Saccharomyces cerevisiae S288C: one gene and its partner. Changing the gene in region 1 together with any one later gene gives a genetic interaction. Each region holds a gene or a part of one and is shown on either strand. Other genes may lie near its edges. The genes, in order: HNT3 and NTG2.

Region 1 (5,162 bases):
ATTTATTACAGTTTATTGGGTCCAAGATGAGATCATTCTTTTTTTTGAAGTAGGTAGGCTGGATAGATGTAGCCGAAGGTTTGTAATCATCGTCATCATCATGATTGCGATCTTCATCATCATCAGTAGTAGGAGGGTTTTGCTGTTGTTGGTTTCCAGTAAATGGATCTTTGAATGAAGCTTGTCTTGACATTGATTGAGGTCCTAATTTTAACAACTGGCAAAGTTCAAAGGAACAAAAGTAGATGAATGAGTTCAGTAACTTAGTGGATACTGTTAAATTTGGATAGTTCCATAATAAATGAGATCTGATCTGTAGATATTTTGTCTTTGTGACGTCCCTTTGAGAATAAACGTCCAAAAGTATTGGCTGCCTCTCTGAGTCTTCGTTTTCTGAATAAACAGTGAAAAATTGCTGTTGTTTTTGCTTTTGCTGTTGCTTTTTATCGATACTACTATCTAAAGAGTTCTTATAGTAGATAGTCATTGCTAGGTTATTATCATCCCTATTCCTAAATTGATCGACCAAGACTTGTGGAGGTATATCTGTGACAAAATCACAGGGCAAGATTACAAAATCGCCATTGATTCTAGGCAAAAGCTCTTTTTGCAAGGACTCACCTGTAGAATTTGCCTTCGAAGGGATGAAATTAATTTTCTTAGGATCTTGCAAGTGATGACTGTGGTTGGAATTTGACAAAGCCTTGTATATTAGTTCAAATTGTTGCTTTCTTAGGGACAAAAACGAAGTCAGTCCACTTTCAATTAATTCGATTTCGTCAACGGGTGCGACCACACTGATTTCTTTGAAATCTGCCTGATCACACCAATCCAAGACGTATTCAATCATAGGTCTATTACCGATGGGCAAAAGAGCCTTGGGCAAGCGCGTTGAATGTTGCATGAACTCATTTATGACAGTTGAATCGAGGGCGCTATTGACCAACTCATTAAGTTTGTCACCGCTCGTGGCAGCTGTACTGTCTTTGTTCTGCGTTTGGAATGGAAAATCTGGCTGGGTGAAGGGAGCCAAATTGGAACCTTTACCGCAAAAGACAAAAGCCTGAATTGACATGACTACGACAATAGGGGGGGGAGCTATCAACGGTGGGAACTTTTGGTCAGCACAGCGTTCAGCATTTTCTGTTGCATCGTAAAGTGCTTGATTGTTATATTTCAATATAGTGATGAGAAGTGAAAAATTTTGCGATAGGCGGGTGACCTTTCAAATAGTGGAATTTGCCACCGAAGGGAAAGGAAGCTTGAAATACCATAGTGAAGTAAATTAAATCTAGTACCTCGCACCGGTTCCAAAGATAACAGACGAAGCAAAGATATTAATAACTAAGAATGAGTGAAGAACAGGACCCTTTATTAGCAGGATTGGGGGAAACGTCCGGCGACAATCACACCCAACAGTCACACGAACAACAACCAGAACAACCACAGGAAACGGAAGAACATCATGAAGAGGAGCCTTCTAGAGTGGATCCTGAACAGGAGGCCCATAACAAGGCCTTGAATCAATTCAAGAGAAAGCTGCTAGAACACAGAAGGTATGATGATCAATTGAAGCAGCGCCGTCAAAATATACGAGATCTAGAGAAGTTATATGACAAGACTGAAAACGACATAAAAGCTTTGCAAAGTATTGGACAATTGATTGGCGAAGTCATGAAGGAATTATCTGAAGAGAAATATATAGTGAAGGCCTCTTCGGGCCCACGTTATATTGTCGGAGTTAGGAATTCGGTAGATCGCTCTAAATTAAAGAAAGGGGTGAGAGTCACCTTAGATATCACCACTTTGACTATAATGAGAATTTTGCCCAGAGAGACAGATCCACTGGTGTATAATATGACCAGTTTTGAACAAGGTGAAATCACTTTTGATGGTATTGGTGGTTTGACTGAGCAAATCAGAGAATTAAGGGAGGTTATAGAATTACCATTGAAGAACCCAGAAATTTTCCAGAGGGTCGGTATCAAACCTCCAAAGGGTGTGCTACTATATGGTCCCCCTGGTACTGGTAAAACTTTACTAGCGAAGGCAGTTGCTGCTACGATTGGAGCCAACTTCATTTTCTCTCCAGCGTCTGGTATTGTGGATAAATACATTGGTGAGTCTGCTCGTATTATTAGAGAAATGTTTGCATATGCAAAGGAACACGAACCTTGCATCATTTTTATGGATGAAGTGGATGCTATTGGTGGTAGAAGATTCAGTGAAGGTACTTCAGCAGACCGTGAAATTCAACGTACGTTGATGGAGTTGTTGACCCAGATGGATGGTTTTGATAATCTTGGACAGACTAAAATCATCATGGCTACGAATAGACCAGATACTTTAGATCCTGCTTTGTTGAGGCCCGGTAGACTAGACAGGAAAGTTGAAATCCCATTGCCAAATGAGGCCGGCAGATTAGAAATTTTCAAAATTCATACTGCAAAAGTCAAAAAAACAGGGGAATTTGACTTCGAGGCTGCTGTAAAAATGAGTGATGGTTTCAATGGTGCTGATATTCGTAACTGTGCAACTGAAGCAGGTTTTTTCGCCATAAGAGATGACCGTGATCACATCAACCCTGATGATTTAATGAAAGCCGTAAGAAAAGTAGCTGAAGTTAAGAAATTGGAAGGCACTATAGAATACCAAAAATTATGATGTTAAAAAGACATGTGTATGTATAGGTATGTGTATATCAGTAACAAAAAGAAATGCGAGAAAGCTTGCCTTATTTAAGCTCGAAATGGCTATTGAACTCTAGTTCTAAATGCTTTTTCAATAAGCTAAATTTATTACTAAAATTTCGCTGACAATAGCAGCAAAGTAAATCGTGTTCTTTCAGGTACGTAGTTTCAATTTCCTTGTCAGTGCCCAAATTTTTTCCGTTCAATGGTAAATCGTCCCAACTAATGAAGAATCCAGTATTAAATGAATTATAATGTTTTTTGTTCTTCAATCTTACCGAATGGAAATCTTTGGATATGACGTGTATATGTAAGTTGGCCATCGAAGGCACGCTGTGTATCCCAACTTGTACAAAATTTCTTACAAACTTGTTTTTGTCTTTTAATATGTCATCCCAGCAGGGGTCTTTGTCATCATCACTCTTCTTTATTCGGAACTTTTCTTGAAAATGCCTAAAGATGTGGTCAATCGCAGAATTAACGTATGATTCAAACTCATTCTTAAACTTAGCATCAATCACTTTAGTAGGATGACTTCTACTCAGCTGCATAGTTCGTGGTAGAATCAATAAATGGCACTCTGATTTAGGAAACGAGTCTCTAATTATGGACACTTTATCATCAAAGTATGTGACTGTATCATCGTTTACCGTTTCTGGGCTGGTAACGTAGTTTTTTAACGCATACCTCCATGACATTTTTCAGTGTTTTGTTTTATTGTCTTCTCTTATTGTTGCCCTGCAGGATTAGATTGGCTTTTTCACTTTTAAGTGCATCCTTGGGCAAGATGTAAGTTAAAACAGAAAACGAGAGACCCACGGGAGTATACTAATATAGTTACAAATCATTTTTATAGATTAAATATATAGTCATAATTAACTATCGGTGCAAATAGCTATAAATTCGTTTTCATTAATCTCGCCATCACCATCCAAATCAAACTCTTCAATCATCGCTCTCAGCTCTTCATCCGTCAAAGTTTCTCCTAATTCTTTAGCTACACGCCTCAAGTTTTTAATACTTATTTTCCCAGTATGGTCGTCATCAAATAATTGGAATGCCCTTTTTATTTCATCTAACGGATCTCTCTTCAATATTTTTTCCCCCATTACAATATAAAAATCATCATACTTCATCAAATGCCGCCCCTCACTATCATATTCATCTATTAAGTCAAGTATTTCTCTCTTGGGTAGCTCAAATCCCAGGGCCTTCATTGCTACTTTCAACTCGTGGTAATCGAGGAACCCATCATTGTTCATATCGAACAATGAAAACGCCTCATATATTTCTTGCTTTTGCTCCTCCAATAACTCGCTATTAAGTGGACCAGACTGTAGCGATGACCTGTTCTTACTCATACTGTATGATTTATTTCCGTTTCTTCTTTGGTTCACTTCCTTTCTCGTTTAATAAATCTCTTCCATACTTACTAATTAGGATTCTTCTTTTTTTCTCTCTATTTCGCAATAGTTAAGCCTCCAAAACTCTTGGAAATTTAGTAGATAAAATTACGGCATCAGGCAAGAACTAGTTAAGCAAGTACTTCCTGCATCATTAAAGTTGTTCTTTTCCTAAACGCCTCTCAATACTAGAGAAATACATCAAGCTTTGGGTTATTTGAAATCTGTAACTAATTTGCAAACCAAGATAATACCCCCGGGTATTGAGATCAAGTAATTTTAATGAGGAGCAGTTATCAACCAGTGTCAACTACAAACTTTGAACATGAAAATGCTATACCTACTGCGTCGTCGTCCCATAATCTGTTGATGAGCCAGCGTTTTGATGATTCTCCTCCTAGTTCTAACGACAACAGTATAGAAACTAATATAACGCCTCCACCTGAACCACCTTCTTATGAATTTGATATAGAGGACCCTCACGATGATCTTCACAAAAGAACACATCTACAGAGGGTTTCAATTGGGTTTCAGGAAAAAATTTTGGAACCCTTAATGGAAAACATCATTCATCCACTCTTACAAATATCAAAATTCGTTCCAGACAAAGCTGACTATTACTTAAGTAAAATCGGAAATCCCTTTATACTTCGAAGGTTCTTTTACATCATTTTCATGTCATTTATTGCATATTATGTCTTGTCAAGTGGCTACTTATTCAACGAAAAGGCATCAGGATCTAAAGGGATGTTTTCTCAACACGATATACTTTTTGAATATGCCAAAAAATCCGTGGATTTGGCAAAGTTTGAGAGAGATTTGGAATATATTAGTAGCATGCCTCATGGATCCGGAACGAAGGGTGATGCAGCTATTTATCGATACATTCAGGAATCTTTTGACAACAATGGGTTGAAATTGGTTAAAGAAATGGGATACTCAGTTTATTCTAATTATCCAGGCAATGTATCAATTTCATATTATGATAACAAGAATGAAAAGCATGATCTAGAACTTTCTAAAGAAAATTTCAATCCGTTGAGTTCTAACGGGAAATTATCCAAAGTGA
Region 2 (15,030 bases), 560 kb from region 1:
CACCAAAGATATATCAAATATCTGATTCGTAATATGGGTCAGGACCAGTGTTCTACAAACAAAGGCAGTCAAGACATTCGTTTGTAAAATCCATTGAATATGAACCAGTATCACACCAAGAGGCCCTAATAACAGTATGGCCCATGTCACTAAAAGCGGTACAAGTGTGACATAAAAGAGACCAGCAATAGTGACAAAAATCAGGGCATAGCAAACCGCAAACAGTAAAATATGCTTCCAATAAACAGGATTCGTCAGCACTTCATAAAACCCCTACGGTTAACAAATAAAAATTAAATATGTTAGTCATAAAACAAGTCATATCAATGCAAACAAAAATCATGTACTTACTAAGAATGGGTAGATAAATGCTCTTGAGTTGAAAATTTCTTTAATGAAGTTTTTTCTAAGCAGTTCGTATCTCACTTTCATTGTTGGTATCGTTTCAGGAAACCAAATATCAAACTGTCTTATGAAAATCTTTAGCCAACGACTTACGTTACTTTCCTTTGAAGAACTGTGTTCTTTGAATTGTCTTTTTAAACGTTGTGGCCCCTTTTCTGCAAGGGTCATAGAATTAGCATATGTGGCGTGAGAAGCCTGGCTGTGACTTATAAGCTCAATTCCGGCTTTCATCCTTAGTTTGTCTTTACAGCCAACCAGGGGTCCTCAGGGATATACCTTGCCCTTTTTTTCCTTTTTTTGACGTCCCTTCACCTTTCTTGAAAGTGATTTACTTTATTTAGGTTTTGAAGTTCCGAGTGTAACCACCCTGATTTTCATAAGTCCCCTGATTTCCCAAATTTTTTATGCATATACAAATGTTGAAAAGAAACGAATATTATTAGCAAGTAATATATAGTATATAGTATATATATATATTTATATATGTAAACATATAATGAATATATAAATTGGTATGTAAAAGAGTTGCGAGCTTCATGGCGGATTAATGTGAGCTATAGATTGTTGGATTGGAGGTGCATAGGATCCTACAGTAGGCTCTTCTGGTTCCGCAGGAGGGGAAGGAGGTACGGCTGGCTGGTCCCGGTCTTTTATCTCTTTAACTATCCAAAGCGAAGCACCTACTGCGTTTGTTCCAATGAACAACCCACCCAGAATGGGAATAGACTCTAATAAACCGCTGGATATCGAGTAAAGGAGCCACTTGGCAAAGCCCTTGTAGTAAACTTTGGAAAGTTTGCGCGAATCCAAATGTAGCACGTCAACAAAATAAGGCTCAAAATAGTAAAATCCCATTCCGGGGCTAAATGGTAGCATATTGATTGTAATTGGACCCACTATTGGAACGAGCAACAATAAAAGAAACATAAAGGCTATGAAGATGTACCAGAAGAAAAAAATGAAAAACTGCGGCAAAGAGACGAGGTAAAACCGTTTCGAAAAGAGGCCACCCAAACGATGTGACCTTCTGTAGACAAAGGGCGTGAAACTTATCGTTTCACAGGCTTCACTCAACTCTGTTAATCCCTTTCTTGCGAACGTCACTCCATAAATACGTGTGAAAAGAACGAAATCGGTACCCTTCACCATAGAATTACATAGCGTTGTGGAAATCAGAATAGTTTGCATATAAGCCAGAGGTAACGCAAAGAGTCCGAGAAAGGGCAAATAGATGCACACTAACAAGGACCACGCAAGGATTGACGTAAACGCAACAATAAGCAGGAGATTCAGCAGGTAGTATCCAAATATTAGGAAAAATAGATGCAAATAATCCGAGTTTCCCACGGATTCGCTAATTCCCTTCAAAGGCGGTTAGTATGACGGCTTAAAAAACATGATCTGCTTATTGGAACATCAACATACTTTATACGGATACCAGATGATCTGGTGCGACGACTCTAGGTCTTTCCAAAAATTGTCTTTAACAAGCATAGCATTCTTGTACCATCGAACTATCGGAGCCTTGTATGCCATCCAAATTTTTGATTTCTTATGGTTCCCTTGGTCTTGGATGGGGAGTAATTGTGGTTCCTCCCCTTCTGCCAGTGGCGTAGAGGCATATGGATGTCTATGGTAATACCAATCAGGTTGGGGTCTAGTCGACATGTTTGCTTGGTGTCTTAGCAGCTCTTATAGTTCTAATGCTATAACTAAGAAAGTAATAATAATAATAATAAAAAGCTTTATATAATGTTTTATTATGGAAGTTTCGTTTTTGTGGCGCGACGCGATCAGCCAAAATCAGCGGAAAAATTCGTCGGAACATTTTTTTCTTTTTTGGCCAAGCTATTGTTACAGGTGGGGCAGGGGCAAGAGACGATATGTCATCGCGAAGCTGTAAAGACACTTGTCGAAGTGATAAAGCGCAAGAGCTGTTTGTCTACGGAACCAGCAAGTACTATCTAATAGCGTGTTCCAGAGAATAACAGCATTTTTCAACTTCTTTCTCCTGGTGTGAGTAATCAGTACGTGAAAAGAGAACGAAGTTAAAAAAAAAAACAAGAAAAAGAAACAAGATCAAAAGAAACGATAAAGGCTGGCTTATAAAATAATAGCATCGCGAACGATCAATAAGGGGCCCTGTTTATTTTTAACAAAGTTTACATATTTCGTTTTCCTCTTTAAGCTGACATCACGTCTATACCCTGTTTTATTCCTTGTTAGAAACATAACGGAGCAGGTAGTAACAACAACAGTATAAACTATCATAAACTTTTTTCCTTCCTTATTGGTGACTTTTAACACTTAGAATTCTAAGTCTGGCAAGAACAGTAATCATACTTCTTTGCAGGGCGTTTTATTGTTACTCCTCTGCCCTGCTAGATTAAAGTAAAGAATCATAAACAAAGAACACAATGACATACCCGGTTAGTGCAGCCGCTCCTGCCGACATTTCATATTCTAAAAATACCCCGTTGGTAGGGCTCTCTAAACCTCCATGCTTGTACCAACACGCTTCCTCGTCCGTCGATTCGTTTTCGTCAACATTCAGTGATGATGATCGTTCGGACCTTGTTGCTGTACCTAATGAGTCGCCGCATGCATTTTCGTATAATCCCATATCACCAAACTCACTGGGAGTAAGGTTGACCATCTTAAGAAGGTCTTTGGAAATAATGGTAAACAGTCCTGACATCTTACATGAGTTGAAGAAAAAAGCACCCGTAATAGCATACCCCCCCTCACTTAGACACACAAGAAACTTAACAGAGACTGCCACGTTATCAGCATCGCGAGATCCGTTAAATGGGTCTCTAATTTCACCATTAGTATCCAATATGCCATCTCCTGCTAGTAGACCCGTGATACAGAGAGCAACGTCCTTAATGGTGTTGCCTGATAATGATACTGCCAGTAAACTGAATCCAGCCAAGTCCGAGTTAGAAAACTTGTTATTCTTGCTAAATTTAGCATTGGAAAACAATTCCTTCGAAAGAGCTTCCGATTTACACATGCTATCGTTATTGAATATCAAGAAAATAAACTTTGATTCAGACATTCAAAAATCAGAAACTTTGAAAAAGGTTTTATTAGATAGTTTAGCAGAACCATTTTTTGAAAACTACAAGAAGTTCCCTCACAAAGATTTAGGTTCGAAATCGCAATATAATGAATATGAGGAGAAACACGATGATATAGTCTCCTTAGCAGACATCAAACCACAACAGGACTATAGCCGAATTCTTCATCCTTTCACATCTGCAAAAAATTCTGGTCCAGAGGCCATTTTTACATGTTCTCAACAATACCCCTGGAACTTCAAAGCTGCCAATGATTTGGCGTGTCTAACGTTCGGTATATCAAAGAATGTTATCAAGGCACTTACTTTACTAGACCTTATTCATACGGATAGCAGAAATTTTGTTCTAGAGAAAATCATGAATGCAGAAGATGATAACCAAGAAATTGTGTTTACCGGAGAAACTATACCTATCGTCCAGCCAAATTCGACAAGCAATAATAATGTACCAAATCTGATTTGGGCTTCACTATGGGCCAAGCGGAAGAATGGCCTACTGGTCTGCGTATTTGAAAAAACGCCTTGCGATTACATTGACGTCATGTTAAACTTGAGAGATTTTTCAGTGGACAGCATTATTGATACAACACACTTTCTGGAAAACTTTGACAAGAAAAAGCAGCAAGAATCAACTTCGCCAATGACAGAAAAGAAAACGGTAAAATTTGCAAATGAAATTCACGATATTGGGTCAGTAAGTCACTCACTGAGTAAACTAATTGATGATGTACGTTTTGGAAAAGTGTTTTCTGCAGATGATGATTTATTACCCTTGTCTATCAGGGTGGCAAATCATGTCAACGAAGAGAGATATTTTACGTTGAATTGTCTATCTGAAAATATACCATGTGCTGTTACAACTTCCGTATTGGAAAACGAAATAAAATTAAAAATTCATAGTTTGCCCTATCAGGCTGGGCTATTTATTGTTGACAGTCACACTTTAAGTCTTTTAAGTTTCAACAAATCAGTCGCCAAAAACATGTTTGGCTTGCGACTTCACGAGTTGGCCGGTAGTTCGGTTACTAAGTTGGTTCCTTCTTTGGCGGACATGATATCTTATATCAATAAAACTTATCCTATGTTAAATATCACATTACCAGAAAATAAAGGATTGGTTTTAACAGAACATTTTTTCAGAAAAATTGAGGCTGAAATGCATCATGATAAGGACTCGTTTTACACTTCTATTGGTCTAGACGGCTGTCACAAAGATGGTAATTTGATAAAGGTGGATGTTCAATTACGGGTCTTGAATACGAATGCTGTATTATTATGGATTACACACTCAAGAGACGTGGTCATTGAAAATTATACCACCGTTCCTTCGCAGCTACCGATGTTAAAGGAGAACGAAATTGATGTCGTTGGCAGTAGAGGTAGTTCCAGTGCATCTTCCAAGAAATCTTCGGAAAAAATTCCTGTGAATACTTTGAAGGCAATGGCTGATCTGTCGATTAGCTCCGCTGAAACGATTTCTAATTCAGACGATGAAGTAGACTTAAATCAAGTGAATGAAAAACTACGAGAAACTTCTTGCGGTAAAGTGAGAGGTATCGAATCTAATGACAACAATAACTATGACGATGACATGACAATGGTTGATGATCCTGAGTTAAAACATAAAATTGAATTAACGAAAATGTACACGCAGGACAAATCAAAATTTGTAAAGGACGACAACTTTAAAGTGGATGAAAAATTTATAATGAGGATAATTGAACCGATAAACGGAGAAGAAATCAAAAAGGAAACAAATGAGCTAGACAAAAGAAATTCTACTTTAAAAGCTACGTACTTGACTACTCCAGAGGCTAATATAGGCTCACAAAAGCGCATAAAGAAATTTTCTGATTTTACTATTCTGCAAGTGATGGGTGAGGGTGCGTACGGTAAAGTCAATTTATGCATTCATAACAGAGAACACTATATCGTGGTCATCAAAATGATTTTCAAAGAGAGGATTTTAGTAGACACATGGGTGAGAGATAGAAAATTAGGTACTATACCTTCTGAGATCCAAATTATGGCGACCTTGAATAAAAATTCCCAAGAAAATATCTTGAAGTTATTAGATTTTTTTGAAGATGACGATTATTATTACATTGAAACACCGGTCCATGGAGAAACTGGTAGTATTGATCTATTTGATGTTATCGAATTCAAAAAAGATATGGTTGAACATGAAGCTAAACTGGTGTTTAAACAGGTAGTCGCTAGTATAAAGCATTTACATGACCAAGGAATTGTTCATAGAGACATAAAGGACGAAAATGTTATTGTTGATTCTCATGGCTTTGTAAAATTAATCGATTTCGGTTCGGCTGCCTATATCAAGAGTGGACCATTCGATGTTTTTGTGGGAACAATGGACTATGCTGCACCTGAAGTCCTTGGTGGTTCCTCTTACAAAGGTAAACCACAAGATATTTGGGCTCTTGGTGTGCTACTTTATACCATAATTTATAAAGAGAATCCTTATTACAACATTGATGAAATCTTGGAAGGTGAATTAAGGTTCGATAAATCGGAACATGTCAGTGAAGAATGCATCAGTTTGATAAAAAGAATTTTGACAAGAGAAGTTGATAAAAGACCTACTATTGATGAAATATATGAAGATAAATGGCTTAAAATCTAGTTTTCCGTACTCTCCAAGATAAAGGGAAAGAATAATTTAATCCATTTTCATAACCATTTACCTTCATAAATGTTCTATTCTTTTTTTGGCTATATATTAATTACATTTTTAATATCATATCATTGCTCTATATCCTTCTTGTCCAGCCTCTATGCAGTATTTTCTTTCATTCTATTTTGGGGCAAACTTCTGCGCTGAGCGGCTTATCGCCGTCGGAGTGACATCAAGTACCATAGAAAAGTCATCGTAGACTTACATATTTAGGCAAGAGAAATAGTTAGGTAAACAGAAAGAGGCACTAGCAGAACGTACTACGGTGTGGTTTATACAAGAGGGTTCTGTGAATAATGGCTGCAAGTGAGATAATGAACAATCTGCCTATGCATTCCCTCGATTCTTCTCTAAGGGATTTACTTAACGATGACTTATTCATTGAAAGTGATGAATCGACCAAGTCGGTAAATGATCAGAGGAGTGAAGTATTTCAAGAATGTGTGAACCTTTTCATAAAAAGAGATATCAAGGATTGCCTAGAAAAAATGTCTGAGGTTGGATTTATTGATATTACCGTTTTCAAGTCCAACCCTATGATATTAGATTTATTTGTCAGCGCCTGTGATATTATGCCCAGCTTTACCAAATTAGGTTTAACACTGCAGAGTGAGATTTTGAATATTTTCACGTTAGATACCCCTCAATGTATTGAGACAAGAAAAATTATTCTCGGTGACCTCAGTAAACTTTTGGTCATCAATAAATTCTTTCGATGCTGTATCAAGGTTATTCAGTTTAACTTAACTGATCACACCGAACAAGAAGAAAAAACTCTGGAGCTTGAATCCATAATGAGTGATTTCATTTTCGTATACATAACGAAAATGAGGACAACTATAGATGTAGTTGGCTTACAAGAATTAATCGAGATATTCATCTTTCAGGTGAAGGTAAAACTGCATCATAAAAAACCCTCACCGAATATGTATTGGGCGCTTTGCAAAACATTACCTAAGTTATCTCCAACCCTAAAGGGCCTTTACTTATCTAAAGATGTTTCCATAGAGGATGCTATTCTGAACTCAATAGATAATAAAATACAAAAAGATAAGGCGAAGTCTAAAGGTAAACAAAGAGGAGTGAAACAGAAAATACACCATTTTCACGAGCCTATGTTACACAATAGTAGTGAAGAACAGGTTAAGGTTGAGGATGCGTTTAATCAACGCACCTCTACTGATAGTAGACTCCAGAGTACTGGAACGGCGCCCCGTAAAAAAAACAATGATATTACTGTTCTGGCTGGTTCATTTTGGGCTGTCCTGAAGCATCATTTCACAAGAAGTGTGCTGAACAAAAACGGACTTCTGCTCACAGGTCTGCTGCTACTCTTATGTTTGAAAAAATATAAGTCATTGATGGCAATTTTCAAACATGTTCCAGCGGCCTTTCACACTGTATACCCCCAGATTGTAGGGTTGCTAAAACTTCTAGCGAGTATATGAGAAATATTTGAATAGTTTATAAAACCCTACCTACTTATTTTAATGACATACATAATGGTTTTTCATCTTTTTCCACAATGAATGGTGGTTCTATTTTTTCTTGTGTCTTTCTGTTGTAATTCCATTTGTAACCGTGTCCAACCAATGCGAATATACTTTCTCGATGTCTTCTTTGTCCTCCAATTGATGAAATTTGGAAGATTCGATTAGCTTCTCATTGCGAGCATTGCAGACATCGTTTGCTAGACATAAATCACACCTCTTACCCCTGGCCATGCAGATCAATTGACCAAATCCAACCAAAACGGTGTTTATTTCGTACCACAGTGAGTGAGGTAGCCAAACCTGTAACTCCTTTCTAGTATGCTCGGCAGTCTTACACTTAATAGGGTCTACCCAATTCCACATTTTACACAGCCTATGGACATGAACATCGACGCATATGCCGGCAATCAGCCCCCAACCTTTTTGCAGTGTTAAATATCCCATTTTAGGTCCAACTCCAGGTAACGAGAGAATTCCCTCTATATCATACGGTATATCTGAATCGAAATTGTCTACCAATAATTGTGCGGTTCTTTTGATGAAATTGGCTTTTCTGGTATAGAAGCTAACGCATCGAATTAGATTTGCTAATACAGGTTCATCAATTTTAAGCAGTCCATCTAGCGTAATACCCTCTGCTATTTTTAATGTGTTTAAGCAGTATTCGGTGATATTCAAAGCCGCTTGCGCCATCCTTTCGTCCCTCGTTTGAGCAGAAAGCATAGTGCCAATAAGAAATTGAAGCCTGAAATTCTTTGGATCGACTTTTTCACTAGGTATCCCACATTTATTAGAAACTAAAACAGGAATCATGCTACATCCCATAGCATCTACCGGGGTTTTAACCTTGGACCTCATTAATCTCACCCGATTATATATGGGTAAGAAACTCTCAGGAACTTTCGCCCCAGAATCGTTAATCATTTCTTCTTTAGTTATTGGCCGTCCCCAAGTTCTCGGATCATCACAAGTCCTTGATTCGATCCATTCAAAATACTCTATTGGCTTCAGTGCCTTGATCCAGTCAATATTTACTCCGCCGTAATTTTGCAAATCTTTATTGATTTTATTTTCTTTTACTAACTCAACAGTTCTCTCATTCTTTTTGAAATACTTAGATCGAACTTCTACCTCTTCAATATCAACAGGAATATGCTTTCTCTTCCTAGACCTACTTTCCTCTCTCATTATATACTGTGAAAGACGTTGTGCTTATACATTTTTTGTGTGCTCCCAATAAGCAACAGATTCAAAATGCTAAAGAGGTCCTTGCCTTCCTTCCTTTCTACTACATGTATATTCCCAAGTTAGGATAACTGCTTCACCAGCTGATTTTGATTTCTCGGCAACAAAACTAACAAATTAACCATGAGTTGTTTAATTGTTCCTGTTAGAGAAGAAAGGAGATCTACACAAACTAAGCTGGATAACGGCAAAAAAGAACATTGGAGAGAGATTTACTGCTCATACAAGTAACAATGTTTACTCGAAGGTTTATTCCAGTTGTTCAGTCAACTAAGCAAAACATCGGTAAATATGTGCGAAAAGATGCTAGGTTCACTTTATTAACATACAACATGCTCTCACCGTCATATATGTGGCCACAGGTATACACATACGTTGCAGAGCCATACAAAAACTGGAGTTATAGGCACAGACTGCTGGAGAAAGAACTTTTGAATACTTTCAAGGCTGATATTATGTGTCTCCAAGAAATGACCGCAAGAGATTATGAAGATTATTGGCACGATTCCATAGGGGTAGATGTCAATTATGGGTCCAAATTCATTTCCAAGACACCCCCAAAGTATTGGAAAAAACCGGTTAAAGATATGGACGGTGTATCTATTTTCTATAATCTTGCAAAATTTGACTTTATATCGTCATCAGGGATCTACTTAAACCAGCTACTGAATGTTTTCAATCAAAGGGAACTGAAATACTTATACAATAAGAAGGTAACATTAACCGATGGTGCTTCCAATGTTATTGGTGAAGACAGCTTATTGGATGTTTTAAAAGGCAAGAATCAGGTATGCTTATTCGTATCTCTAAGACATAAGGAGACGGGTACTATTTTTGTCGTTTTAAATACTCATTTGTATTGGAAATATGACGAAGTTAAGCTAACACAATGCATGATTATAATGAGAGAGTTATCAAAGATCATTAAGCAGCTCCTACCGGGAGATGTAAAAGGCCAAGAAAGGGTGAAGATTTTATTCACTGGTGATCTAAATTCTACAAGAGATTCGCTAGTTGTTAATTTTCTGCAAGGTCAGATAGTTAGCCATGGAGACCTTAATCTTATTAACCCAATGAGGCCGTATTTGGATCGTTGTGTCTATGACGATATACCAAAGGATTATTTTGTACATACGTGCTATTCAGGAAAATTGAAGGGCATCTTTGATTACGTATGGTACCATGATTCAGATTTTTTACTAACTAAGATCCTAACCGGTAATGAAGTATCAGACGAATTGCTAGCGTCTAATCAGTTGGGTTTACCCAATGAAAACCATCCTAGTGATCATATACCTCTACTAACAGAATTCAAAATACTGTGAGGCATTACTATCTTGCCTTTTTTGTGCTTTTTTTCTTCATTCCTTGTTTTATTTTATTTGTACCTCTCTTATAACCTTGTTATCATACTTTTTATTCATTTCAAATATTCTTTCCATTATTGCAGTATTCTTTAAGTAATATTCCGAACGTGTTCCATAATTTGGGTATGAATGTATTTATAGAAATATATAAAACGCATGATTTTTCTTTTTTATATGTATATTATACTATTAGAACTATGTAAAAAAATGCCAGCATGTATAGAGGAAGCTACAAGAGATAAGAAATAACTAGTAATAATATACAGTGTATCTCTAACAAAATTGATATTGTGTGAAAACTAATGAAACTATTTCTTGCTCTTTTCAGCTTGAGCTTTCTTGAATGCTATCGATCTTTTGGTAACCCTACCTGTAGCGGATCTTTGTTTCTTCTTTTTTAGATGGGTGGAACCTTCGCCTTTCTTTGCTCTTAAACCTTCGATAGTTATCTCTTGGCCCAAAGTGGCTCTATCAGCCTTACCTAAAATCTTTTTAGCTCTACCTGCTCTGGTTCTTTGTGAATCTGTCAACCCATTTCTATCCAAGCCGGTCCCAATAGTAGTACCCTTCTTCATGTTCTTACATCTGGAAACACGCAATTTTCTTGCCTTTTTAGTTGGTTTCTTTGTATTTTCGTCTTCTTGTTTTTGTGACTTCATAGGCTTTTCGTTCAATAAAAGTGCTTTGTTTACACTTTGTAAATCTTTAAATTGAACATAAGCAAATCCCTTACCCATATTTGTCTTTGAATCTCTGATAATACGGACATATTCAATATCGCCACATGGTTCAAAATGTTTCCAAAGACTTTCTTCTATTTCTTCAAAATCCAAGTTACCTACAAAGATTGAACGCTTCTTATCATGCGGAGCTGGATGAGCAACTGAATCAACTCTTAAGTGATGATCTTGGAAAACGACAGCATTCAAATTCGAGCAGATTTTTCTTACAGCAGACTTATTCTTATAGACGATGTAAGCGTTTATTGTATCCCTTGACTTATGAAATTTTTGTTGGACAAACGCAACTTTTCTAGGAAGAGCTTCATCAAAGGAAATAGATCTGAATCTTATGCTTTCAATGGCAAATTCGTTATTGTCACTTTTCTTAGAACTTTCCTCTTCTTTTTCATTACCAGATTCCTCAGTTTCTGCTATCGGATTTGTACCAAAAAGTTTTTTGAATTCTTTATAAACCTTTTTAGATGTGATGACAGTACTTAAGATGTTACCAATGAAAACAGTTCTTTCTGCCTTTTCTAACTCGTCTTCTTTGAAATCAACTTTCTTAGCTGCTGATGTCAGTGGTACTGAAGTTTCATCAGTTTTCGTTACTGTTGGTTTATCATCCTCAGCCTCAGCTTCTTCATTTAGTAGTTTCGCATAATAGCGGGCTTCTAAGTCTTCATCCTCGTCATTCCTTTTACTTTTTTTGGCCTTCTTTACTTTTGGAAGGGCAACTTCTTCAGTTTGCTCATCTGAAACATCAGGTTTGCTTGCTTCTTTTTCTTCTTGATCAGCTTCGGCAGCTCTTTCCCTTTTCTTCGAATCAGGAAGGACAGTACGTGTTTTGCTTTTGACTTCCAATTTATTAATAGGTCCACAGGATGAACTAAATAGCTTATCTACTGAAGATTCTATTTTTTTCTCATCAATGTTACCAAAGAGATTGTCAATTGCAGAGGACATTTTTCACTTTAAAATTTATAGCGTGATAATCTGGTGGATGATATGTCGACTGTTTTCTTAATAAAGTGCCTCAAGCTATCTACCTTCAATATAACAGTTTAAAATTTAGACAAGCAAAAAAAAATTGCGATGAGCTTGAAAAAATTTCGAAGTTCGTTTTAAGTGATCAATATATCAAAGAAAATAGAAAGTTGATGAAAGTAGTCCGTGACAGTAAATGAAGCACTTGAGTTGAGGTTTCACGTCCGCTTACAATATATATCATATATGAGGACGAACATTTACAGTAATGATGGAAGGCAATTTAAAAGCTGTCTGCGGAAACAAGTGCTATTGTTGCTTTCCGTGTACAACCCCCATTCACTTCATAAAAGAAATTAAACAAATATAATATAATAGATTATAATAATAATACCAATAAACAAAAATTTTATTTTCCTAATACCTAGACATTATATATAAAAAAGATACAAGGATGACTGCGATTCTGTTATTAGGGAGCTTATTTCAATGGGATGAAACGGGAAGTAGTAGCACCGGCTCTACCATGTCTGACTGGGGTGTAAGTAATGGAGAATTCACCCAAATAGTGACCCAACATTTCTGGTCTGATTTCAACTTGGTTGAAAGCCTTACCGTTGTAGATACCGACGACGGAACCGATCATTTCTGGAACAATGATCATGTTTCTCATGTGGGTTCTGACTGGAGCTGGCTTTTCATTTTCTGGGGCAGCCAACTTGGCAGCTCTCAACTTCTTCATGAAACCGGCTGGCTTGGAAGTCATACCACGGGCAAATCTTCTTCTAACTCTAGCTGGGGCCAACTTGACGAAATCTTCAGTGGACATTTCCAACAATTTTTCCAAATCGACACCTCTGTAAGAGTGGGTCTTAAAAACTCTCTTCTTGGCATTAACAGCTTGAGACATGATCGGTCGTGATTATCTTGTTGTGTACTTCTAGTTCGTCTTATTCTACAATGTAAGGATAAGCACTAACAAATAAGAAAAAAATGAAATCCAAGAACAAATAAAAGAAGAGACCATACCATAATGTGAAACTCTGCACAAAAGATTAAAAAGGAATAAATTGATTGCGGATAGGAAGGGCCAAGCAGACGATTACGGTGTTGTCTCGCAGCTTCCCAGCAAGGAGTTTCTCAGAGAACCTACTCCGAGTGAAACGGACGGAAGAGACCTTCCAAAGAGAAACGAAAATCGGTTCTAGGAGGACGCTCCCTCTAAGTGTCTAGGCCCGTGTTGGGCGGAACTGCCGCCCAACACGGTTTCCGGGACTATACGCCCAGACATAACATTGATTTATACGCGCGGTGTACGGATTAAAAAAGTTTTGTACCTGTTTTGAGGCTGTAACTCATGGCAGCCGAGGGGAATACCAGGGGAGAGACTATACCGGACGATATGCGGAAGACGCGCGAAACGTGAAACATTTTGCATGGAACTCCAAAGCGTTGATACCCGCTTGAAGTTTAGTTAACCTAGTAGCGGAGAGCCGTTATTATTCGAGGTTTTTCAATTGTTACTTCTGGTAATTTCTACTTCCGTTTATTCAAAAGCTTTTTCTATTATTTTAGTGATTTTTTTCTCATTGGAAATTCATACACAACAACAGAACCAATCATACAAAAATGAAGTACTTAGCTGCTTACCTATTATTGAACGCTGCTGGTAACACCCCAGATGCCACCAAGATTAAGGCTATTTTGGAATCCGTCGGTATCGAAATCGAAGACGAAAAGGTTTCCTCCGTTTTGTCCGCTTTGGAAGGTAAGTCTGTTGACGAATTAATTACTGAAGGTAACGAAAAGTTGGCTGCTGTTCCAGCTGCTGGTCCAGCTTCTGCTGGCGGTGCTGCTGCTGCCTCTGGTGATGCTGCTGCTGAAGAAGAAAAGGAAGAAGAAGCCGCTGAAGAATCTGACGACGACATGGGTTTCGGTTTATTCGACTAAGGTTGAGTAAATTTGTGCAATCTCGTTATATCATATCTTGGAAGTTATAGAGGGAAGGGCGCAAAAATAAACCCTTTCCTCTTTTTTACGGCGACCATACTCTTTTTTTCCTAATCCTTTTCAAGTTTAAATCCATGATTTAATATCTATTTATACATATAAATAATATAAGTAATGGTTTAATGCATTGTTTCAAAAAAAAAATAAAAAAAAAAGGGAAGAAATTATATATAAATATACTTCTTCATCTTCAAAATTCAAACCGATTGTTTTACTGGTTAGAATATTATGTGTGCTCTTTCTTTGCTCTATGACATGGCTCTGTTTTGTACCTTCCTTTTTTTTATGCTATTGAATAAATTTGTTGTAGCCGCTTTCCTCAGGAAGGACCCCATGTATTTCATCAAATCATATAAGTTGAATATCCCATCAATTGCGTACCTAGTACTTAAATAAAATACTCACGTCGCTTTCTTTGAATATTTGGAAATGAATTGAGACCTAGTGTGCTGTGTGCCCTTGTTCATTGACGATTAAAGCTTTAAGGACCATTACTATGGGTAAGAATATCATCCGGGCAACGGTATTTCTTAATCTTTTCGAAGATTCTTTTGCCACCGGAAGGGAAAGAAAAGACATCATATATAGGTGGTAGCAAAACCTTCAAGTTAGTGCTCAGCAGTTCATCAGGATCAGTTGCATAAACACAATTACACAAAATGAGTGGTTACGATAGAGCTTTGTCCATTTTCTCCCCAGATGGACACATTTTCCAAGTGGAGTACGCCCTGGAGGCGGTAAAGAGGGGTACCTGTGCTGTAGGTGTCAAGGGTAAGAATTGTGTAGTATTGGGCTGCGAAAGAAGGTCTACTTTGAAGCTGCAAGACACTAGAATTACGCCTTCCAAAGTTTCCAAAATTGACTCGCATGTGGTGTTGTCATTTTCTGGTTTAAATGCAGATTCCAGAATTCTTATCGAGAAGGCTAGAGTGGAGGCCCAAAGTCACAGACTAACGTTGGAGGATCCCGTGACGGTGGAGTATCTCACACGTTATGTCGCTGGTGTGCAACAAAGGTACACGCAGTC

The links.
Region 2: mutations in HNT3 (region 1) and NTG2 impair growth when combined (synthetic growth defect), as found in Saccharomyces cerevisiae (one study listed by BioGRID).

What each region holds. Positions count from the first base shown.
Region 1 is NC_001147.6:809,897-815,058, reverse strand, and holds HNT3 (DNA 5'-adenosine monophosphate hydrolase), read right to left. Parts: upstream 3,389-5,162; coding exon 2,735-3,388; downstream 1-2,734. Other genes in the region: GCD1 (translation initiation factor eIF2B subunit gamma), read right to left, coding at 1-1,075; proteasome regulatory particle base subunit RPT4, read left to right, coding at 1,351-2,664; CDC31 (centrin), read right to left, coding at 3,566-4,051; TRE2 (putative zinc metalloprotease), read left to right, coding at 4,376-5,162. UniProt on the Saccharomyces cerevisiae protein: DNA-binding protein involved in single-strand DNA break repair, double-strand DNA break repair and base excision repair.
Region 2 is NC_001147.6:240,675-255,704, forward strand, and holds NTG2 (bifunctional N-glycosylase/AP lyase NTG2), read right to left. Parts: upstream 8,861-15,030; coding exon 7,718-8,860; downstream 1-7,717. Other genes in the region: RRT8 (Rrt8p), read right to left, coding at 1-273, 352-636; LDS2 (Lds2p), read right to left, coding at 940-1,767, 1,831-2,073; serine/threonine protein kinase PSK2, read left to right, coding at 2,823-6,128; PEX15 (Pex15p), read left to right, coding at 6,476-7,627; NGL1 (RNA exonuclease), read left to right, coding at 9,151-10,242; rRNA-processing protein NOP12, read right to left, coding at 10,593-11,972; 40S ribosomal protein uS19 RPS15, read right to left, coding at 12,475-12,903; ribosomal protein P2 RPP2A, read left to right, coding at 13,623-13,943; YOL038C-A (uncharacterized protein), read right to left, coding at 14,252-14,347; PRE6 (proteasome core particle subunit alpha 4), read left to right, coding at 14,663-15,030. UniProt on the Saccharomyces cerevisiae protein: Bifunctional DNA N-glycosylase with associated apurinic/apyrimidinic (AP) lyase function that catalyzes the first step in base excision repair (BER), the primary repair pathway for the repair of oxidative DNA damage.